Linked DNA regions of Oryctolagus cuniculus. The protein of the gene in region 1 interacts with the protein of each later gene in a biochemical or structural test. Links are inferred from orthologs where the notes say so. Each region holds a gene or a part of one and is shown in the gene's direction. Other genes may lie near its edges.

The links. The genes of interacting proteins can lie anywhere in the genome.
Region 2: of the proteins of CREB1 (region 1) and RPS6KA5, one has a biochemical effect on the other in vitro, tested with the Homo sapiens proteins (3 studies listed by BioGRID, with this or other methods). The link is inferred for Oryctolagus cuniculus from reciprocal best matches to the Homo sapiens genes CREB1 and RPS6KA5.

Annotation. Positions count from the first base shown.
Region 1 is NC_091434.1:32,262,045-32,266,045, reverse strand, and holds the start of CREB1 (cyclic AMP-responsive element-binding protein 1), read left to right. Parts: upstream 1-1,197; 5' UTR 1,198-1,323; exon of another isoform or gene 1,324-1,439; intron 1,440-4,001.
Region 2 is NC_091451.1:36,524,790-36,528,998, reverse strand, and holds the start of RPS6KA5 (ribosomal protein S6 kinase alpha-5), read left to right. Parts: upstream 1-1,401; 5' UTR 1,402-1,683; coding exon 1,684-1,786; intron 1,787-4,209. UniProt on the Homo sapiens protein: Serine/threonine-protein kinase that is required for the mitogen or stress-induced phosphorylation of the transcription factors CREB1 and ATF1 and for the regulation of the transcription factors RELA, STAT3 and ETV1/ER81, and that contributes to gene activation by histone phosphorylation and functions in the regulation of inflammatory genes.

The DNA of each region.
Region 1 (4,001 bases):
AGAGTATGAGACAGCCTTACAAAGCACAGGAGGGGCACTCAAAAGCGGCCCAGGGAGCCCATTACACGAGTGGGGGTAAAGCAAGGACAGGAGGCTGCGACTGCCCACGAGCTAACAGGTGGAGTCGCTGAAAAGGCGTTTACCATGGGTAGAAATAAGCATGGTTAAAATATTGGTGCAGAGATGGCAGGAAGGAAAGCCTGCAAACAACTAACGGAAAGGGGATGGCCAGCAACAGGAAGGAGAACTCTCTTCCTAGCAGAAGTCAGTGGGTAGCAGGGCCAGGTCTACTCCAGAAAGACAAGTCGGCTTCAAGGGACACGACTTCACCCAGGGAGAGGCCTGCAGGAGCGGAGAGGAGACTCGGTGGTTGGCCTTGGGCGACCTGGGGGAGCAGTGCCAGCAGCCTGGAGGCCACGGAAGTCACAGTGTCAGCCTTAGGGTGGGGGTGGGTGCGCAAACCACTGCGGCAGAAAGGCGGCGAAAAGAGAATGAGGCACAGGATGTCGCCCCAAGAAGGGCGGGCAGGTGGGGTGGGGCCGAATTTCGAGCGCCGAGGAGGAGCAACCTCGCTCCGACCGAACCCCAAGACGGGCTGCCCACGTCGCAGGGCTCAACCGCGAATTCCGGAGCCCCTGCCTTCCGGACAAAGAACGACCCCGCTCGCGGCCGCTGGGCAGCCCGCGCCACCAAGGCCCTGCGACGCCCCCCGCGGCCTGCTCGAGCGCCAGCGCCCAAGCCAGGCCCCGGGCCTGCGGGTGCCGGCCGAGGCGCGGTGGCCCTCGCTCCCCTGCCCGGTGGCCGCCGCACCCACACCGTCCCCGCCGTGTTTGAAAGTTCCCGGGCCGGCGGCGCGCGGGGGCTCACCGTGGCCGCCCTAGAGCCCGCCGCTTACCGCCTCGGGGTAGGCCTGCGGGGGGTTTCCAGCCAGTCACCTAGAACCCTTGGGAATTCCCCCACCGGGTCACACACCAACCCCGCTTCCTCCTGCAAATTTCCGCCGCGGGGTTTCAGCGCCCCGAACGCCACGCCGGGGTAGAGAGCGCTCCTCCCCGCACGGGTCTCAGCCCTCGCCGCCCGGCCCCTTCCCCGCTGAGCCCCGCTCCGCCTGGCGCGAAGGAGCCCGAAGGCCTTCGGCAAGTTCCGCCTCCAACGCGGGGGCGGGGCCGCTCGAGCCGCTCCGGGCCGCGCTCGGCTGTTTCCGTGCGCAGCCGCTGCGCACTCGGCACTGGGCGGCGCTGGCTGGCTCCCTGGCTGCGGCTCCTCAGTCGGCGGCGGCTGCTGCTGCCTGTGGCCCGGGCGGCTGGGAGAAGCGGAGTGTTGGTGAGTGACGCGGCGGAGGTGTAGTTTGACGCGGTGTGTTACGTGGGGGAGAGAATAAAACTCCAGCGAGATCCGGGCCGCGAACGAAAGCAGTGACGGAGGAGCTTGTACCACCGGTAAGAGGAGCAGGAGGAGGAGGCAGGAGCCGGAGAGAGCCGGGGGGACGGAGGGGGGACGGGGAGGCGCCGGACACCCGCGCTCGGGGCCTTCCCCTCGCAGGAGGGGCCGCGGTAAAGATGGAGCCTCCGCCCGAGCCCCACAACATCGCCGCCGCTCGCAGCGAACAAAGAATAATGGCGGCGGACTGGAGCCAGCGGCGGCCGGGGCGGCAGCGACTCTGCCTGCAGCCAGCGGCGGCGCTCATGGCGGGGGGCGGCGGGCGGGCAGCGGGGTGGGAGCCGGCGGCCGGGGTGTGTGTGCGGGCGGGCGGGCGAGCGAGCGGGCGGGCGGGCGGGCGGCCTCGGCGAGCTGGCGCCCGCGTTCCCGCCGCCGCCGCCGGGCCGGGCGCGGAGCCGGGAGCCGGGAGCCGCCCCGGGGGAGGCCGCCCGCCCGGCCCGGCGCTGCCCCCCGCGCCGCCCGCTCGCTCGCTCGCTCGCCCGCCGGCCGGCCCCCGCCGCCCGCCTCGCCCCCGGCCCGGCCCGGCCCGACTCGGCCCGGCGGGGCAGCCGCGGCCGGGGAGCCCGTGGGGGGTGGAGAAGGAAGAAGAAGGCGACGGTCGAGGGCAGAGGAGGTGAAGGTGCCTGCCGCCTTCCCGGTAGCCTCCGAGCCCGGCGTGCCCGCTTCGCGCGGGCAAGAGCCGCAGCGTCTGATCCGCTCTCCCCTCCACGCTCTTTTGTGCAATAAAGTTCGAACCCCAAGCTTTCTTCTCGTGCTGTATTTTTCTTGGTGCCCTTTTCCGCCCCCCGCTCCCGCAACGTTGGGGAAAGGCTGTCTTCTGCCCTTTTGCCGCTCAATTGAGATGATGAGAGGTCGTGCTTTTTTTAGGGAATTTTTGACTCTTTCCCTTACTGCCCCCTCCCCCCCGCTTCTTTTTTTAAAAGTCAGTAGCCATGGAAATGCATTCTTTTTGGAAGGAACGGGGTGCTAAGAAAAACATTTGTAATAACTTTAAGAAAAAAAAAAGAAACCTGTTGGGATCTTGTAAAAGGGAAGCTGGTGTTTGAAACAGTTTCGGTTTTAACCCTTTTCAGTTAGGTAGTAACCAGTTGAGGTCTAACATTCTGAAACACTTCGTTGAAACGAGCATTCGCAGACGTACTTTTGTTTTGCATCACTTTGAGGGGGGTGCACACATGTCAGCTGGGTGAGTCACCTGGGTCTCTCCTCACCCCCTACCAAGTTTCCCACGGATCTCTTTATAAACTTTAATGAGAAATGGATGTCCTAACAGTGCTAAAAGTAGACATTAACAGTATCCATGATCTGTCTTGCATACAGTGGGGAACCCCATTCTGTAATTTAAGCCACAAAACTTACTTTTCTTCGTCTTTTGAGAAAAGGGACAGCAGTAAAGTCACTGACACAAGGTTAAAACACCACATTTTTAAAGGACGTGCAGTATGACCTACTTAGATTTGTCGCTCCTTACCGAGTTTCACTCTAGCCTTAGCTTGCCCTTAGGTCTGTCTTCTGAAGGTTTAGTGTAAGATCCTTTTCGGTAGCTGCCTATTGACAACTTGTACTTTTAAGCATTTCCTGATTTAAAAGTGAAGCCCCAAACGGTCGTTTTAGATGGTGAGAGAGATGAACAGATAATTTGTTCTAAAAATACTCACCTGTCACTGTGTGATTGAATTGTGATTGATACATGCAAGGCTTCTTCTGGTTTAGGGGTAAATCCTGACCGGCGGGAGCAGCATTCTCTTCTGACTTTCCTGTATCTAAGTCAGTTTTCTTGTAGTTGTGTTGCTAGTCTTTAAAAGACCACATTGGCAATTTGTCATTGCTGAGAAACTTGAGAAGATGCAAATAAAGGGAATTTCCTTTTTTATTTCCAAACACTGAAGAAGTTATTGGTGGTGGTAGATTACTGTTTTTTCCTTAATAAATTTTTCCTGCAAACCAGTTAGATTTTTTTTCTGAGTTTTTTAAAAAGTTTCTAGTGCATTCCTTCTTCAGTCTTATCCAAAAGGTCTTTAAAATTTATAGATTCATAATTTTTGAATATTAGCAAATCCAAGTGAGATTTCTCAAACTTTTATAGTCATTAATATTTGAACATTCACCAGGAACATGGCATGAAATTAAACCTCTGTGCTGTCCTAGGTTCAGTAAAAATTACAGCTGGGTCTACTTAAATTTTTTTTTTTTAGTGGACACTTGCATTTAGAAAGCTAATGAATTCTTTGTGACATAATTTTCCTGAAGAGTGTTCTTTTGGAACTTAAAACTCTATAATGTTACTACTTTTGAACGACTTTTCCTCACATAACAGCCTGAAAAAAAACTTAACCCATTATGTCCCATTGCACTGTGTAAAGAACAACTCTAAATACTTAAATTGAATAACAAATATATCACTAGTGGTAACTTTGAGATAAATGTTAAGTCATTGAAATATTCACAGAAAATGGAAACTTGGGGCTTAAAGCCTGATTCATGAAATGGTACCTTTTTCTTTTTGAAACTAATTAGATGTGATTAGTGGATAATTTGTTTTCTTCAAAAAGAAATGGCTT
Region 2 (4,209 bases), on another chromosome or scaffold:
ACCCTGCACCCGCATGGGAGACCAGGAGGAAGCACCTGGTTCCTGGCTTCAGATCGGTGCTGTGGCTGCCATTTGGGGAGTGAACCAACGGAAGGAAGACCTTTCTCTCTGTCTGTCTATAACTCTGTCCAAAAAAAATCTAAAAAAAAAAAAAAAAAGATGATGCCTACAGGAATTATGCCCAAGTACATACACTTGGAAGTCTCTCCTTTTCCCATTCTCGTATCTGCCCCAGAGTTCTGGTCTTGTAACTGGGCTCCCGCCCTGCTTTCACAGTAGTCCGCCCTTCTTATAAGCAAAGCTAACTGCCAGAGAACAGCTTGGAGACTGCACCTACTGTGTGAAGCTTCCCACCGCGGACCAGATACAGCCTGCGGTGTCCAGCCTGGCACTGGAGGTCCCCGGTGACCGCACCACAGCTGCCCTGTCCTGCCGGGCGGCCGGGTCCAGCACTTCACCCACGCTCGCTCTCTGCTGCGGGCCTAGGCTCAGTTACTGTTTCCGCCTCTGGGACTTGCGTCTTGCCCATCTCTGGAGCTGGTTACCTCCAAGGCCTCCTTGCTCTAAAAGCCTGTCGCAGCTCTTCCCCGGGGATGGCCTGTTCCCTCTGCGGGATTCCACCACCTGTGTAGCTTGGCTTTTTATCTCACACTCTTACAGTATCGGCGTGCACACACACACCGTCGGGTTCCGCGTTCCTCTGAGAAGTGATCAGGCGCAGCAGCTGTGCTGTATGTTATTAGACTCTCCATCCTTTCGGCTCCCAGGAGGAGTCCTGCACAAAATGAAATTTTGTAAAATTTTTGCAAAATTCCTAATGGGAGGCTAGGACTGTGAATTCTTCTAATGCCCAAGAATCACCTGTATTTTAAGTCACTGAACTCGTTTAAGGCTCCCTAGTGCCAATGACGTCTTCCAGGGGGTCACGCACCTGCGGATCGCTGTCTGAGTACCAGAGGTTTATCCGCAAACACGTGGGTGACAAGCGCTTTCCTCCGGGCCCCGCCTCTGTCCACCGTGATTGGCGGACCAATCGTTCCAATCAGCCCTCCCCGCCTCTTTCAGCAGTAGCCAATCACAGGCCTCGAGCGCCTCCTGACTACTAGACACTGTTTACTAACAGATAGAAGCTGGGGAATAAGGGGTGTGACCGTTCTGGGGAGGTCAGGGAAGAGAGTGTCTCGGCTGCGCGTGCGCACCCAGGGAGGTGGGCGGGGCAGAACCTCGGTTCTCACCAATCGGAGCGGCCACGCTCCTCCCTCTCCTGCCTCCCCGCCAGGCAACAACAATTCGAGGAGCGGGGCGGGGCTGCTCGTGAAACGTCAGAGCGGGTTGCCCAATGGGAGCCGGCGTTGGCAGACGCGCGCGCCCGGCGCCCAATAGGCGGTGGCGGGCCGAGTGGCTCCTCTACCGTGCTGGCTGTGGGCGGAGCGGCCCGGCGGAGGAGGCGGTGGAGCCGGGGGCCGCTTGGTTGCGCGGTACTAGCGGTGCCCGCCGAAGGGGGAGGAGGCGGAGGAGCGAGCCGTGCGGCCAGAGCGGGAAACAGACTGGTCTCGGCGTCCGAGTTCTGAAGCCGCCGCGCCCCGGCTGCCGGGGCTGCCGCAGGGGTTGTGAGGGGACGGGTGGCCGCTGTCTCCCGCGCTCCCCCTCGGAGCGCCCCGTGGGCTCGGAGAAAGGGAGAAGATGGAGGAGAAGGGCGGCAGCGGCGACGGCGCCGCGGGGACCAGCGGGGACGGCGGCGACACGGGGGAGCAGCTCCTCACGGTCAAGCACGAGCTGCGGACGGGTGAGCGACCCCGCCCTCTGCCGGCCGGGGCCGGGGGAGGGGGCGCGGAGCGCCTGGGCCTGGCGCGCGCGGCGGGAGCCCCGGGGGTCTCGGGCGGCGGCCGCCGAAAGTTTTCCCGACCCCGCGACGAGCGCCCGTCTCCGGGGATGGCGTGGCCGCCCTGGCCGCGCAGGTGACACATCTGTCGCCGCATCCTGTCGGGGGCGAGAGGTGCGCCGTCCGGGGTCGGAGGGACCCGGCTTCTGCACCGCGCCCGCCGGCCTGCAGGTGGATCCCGGTGGGGGTGGGCGCGACCCCCGGGACGGGCGCTGGGGGAGCCTGTCCGCGAGTGATGGGGAGGGCTTGCTCTGATGTGCGAACGGCGCGAGATACTGCACTTGGCCTTGCATTTCCGTCAGAGGTCTCTTGAGACGCACGTTCGAAGCGCTTGCATTCTGCCGTCCGAGACCCCAGACTCGCCCGAGCGGCACACCTGGTAAATGCTGGCCGTGCGGGTTGTTCCTTGCGGAAAATGGCCAATGTGGCCCCCTCCATCCATCCGGTTCGGGTTTCGTCTTTGTGGAGCCCGGTCTCAGATGTAGGGACACTTGAGCATGTCGGAGCAGACCGTGCCTGCCAACCACTCGGTCGGCATTATTGTTTCAAATACTGGCCACGGCCCCACTGGCGTTTTGGGGTCGACTTCCCCGGGTTCAGGTGGGCGCCTCGCACACCTTGTTTCTGTTTTGAACAGAGTGTGAAGTTAGTCCGGGGCCGGCTCTTTCAGTTTTTGTTACATGTGCTGAGATCGCCAGGTAGCGAGCGTTTCGCCCGTGCCCTCGTGGTCCCCTGATGGAAGAGATGTCAGAGTCCTGCTGGCATTTTTACACCGTGTCCGTGTGGTCATCTGTGCCTCTGTTAGACGTCTTGAGTCGCTCACTCCGTATTTTTTAGTTCCTAACATGCCCTGTGTATGTTCCGTGTTTCGCTCTCAAAAGCCAAGGGATGTTTTCAGAGGGACCGTAAATCTTTTACCAGTCTGCATTTACCGGGTGTTGATGTCTGATCTGTGCCAGGCCCGGTGTCAGGTGCTTTCTGGTTTGAAGATTTTGGGTTTTTTTCGTGTCTTACATAATGATTCACTGATTTATGTATGTAGGGTTGCACTGTTCAGCGGCAGCCCTTCAAGTCAAATGCTCCTTAGTCACTGACCGTGGCGCAGTGAACCGCGTTTTGCTAAATGACCAAGGAGCAAACTACTTGTTACTGGGAGTCAACCAACTGTACAGTTTCTGAATTTTGCAAACAATGCTGGCTTTAGAGAAAACAATGAGTACTGCTGTATTCCCCTCCTCTACTCACAGAGTGAATCATCAGCTTCAAGTTTGCATTTTGGAAATTTTTCTGATAGAAGATGAGATTATACTGAATTCATTAGCACTGTGAACTAACGGTGAAGGGAAGTGAATAGTCATCTTGATTTATAACTGTTGAACACTGGAGTGACTGACCGGATACAGTGGTGAAAAACATTGTGAAAATGTAACTTGCAAGAATCACCCATCTTCAGCCAACTGCACTCCTGTCAGCCCAGGATGCTATAATAGGCACCAGAGTAATTTGATCTGATACAGTCCCTTCTCAGAATGGGGACGGGCATCTAGGCAGTGGGTAACTGCCCGTTTGTGCAGAACCCTGTATTGTGTTCCGTAGGATGAAGGCAAGAAGCAGTGAGAGCCGCGTGCAAGGACATGGAAGTAGCTCCAGTTGGGTAAACCCAGCAGCATGGCGTGCCTGGGCATGGAGCTGGAAGACGTAGTTCTAAGTCCCAGCCCTGACACTTACTAGATACGTGGATTCAAGCAAGTCGCCTCGTTTCCTGAGACCCACTTTCATCTATAGAATGGGAGAGTGGAAGGAGACACTTGGAGCCTTGCGGAGAAGGGTGCTTGACACGTTGAAGGCATCCATCACGTGTTGATTGAACGTACATCTAAAAATCGGGCCACGGGGGCTGGGGCTGTGGCATAGAGGGTAAAGCCGCCACCTGCAGTGCCAGTATCCTATATGGGTGCCGGTTCTAGTCCCAGCCACTCCACTTCCAATCCAGCTCTCTGCTGTGGCTGGGGAAAGAAGCAGAAGATGGCCCAAGTCCTTGGGCCCCTGTACCCTCATGGGAGACCCAGAAGAAGCTCCTGGCTCCTGGCTTCGGATCCACGCAGCTCCAGCTGTAGTGGCCAATTGGGAGTGAGCCAGCGGATGGAAGACCTCTCTCTCTCTCTCCTTCCCTCTCTCTGTGTAACTCTGACTTTCAAATAAATAAATAAAATCTTTAAAAAAAAAAATCAGGCCACAGCAGTGTCTTTAAATCGTGTAAATTAATCCAGCATAATTGGAAAGCAGGTCAGTCACCTGGTGCCTAACGTGTGTCACATCACCTGGCT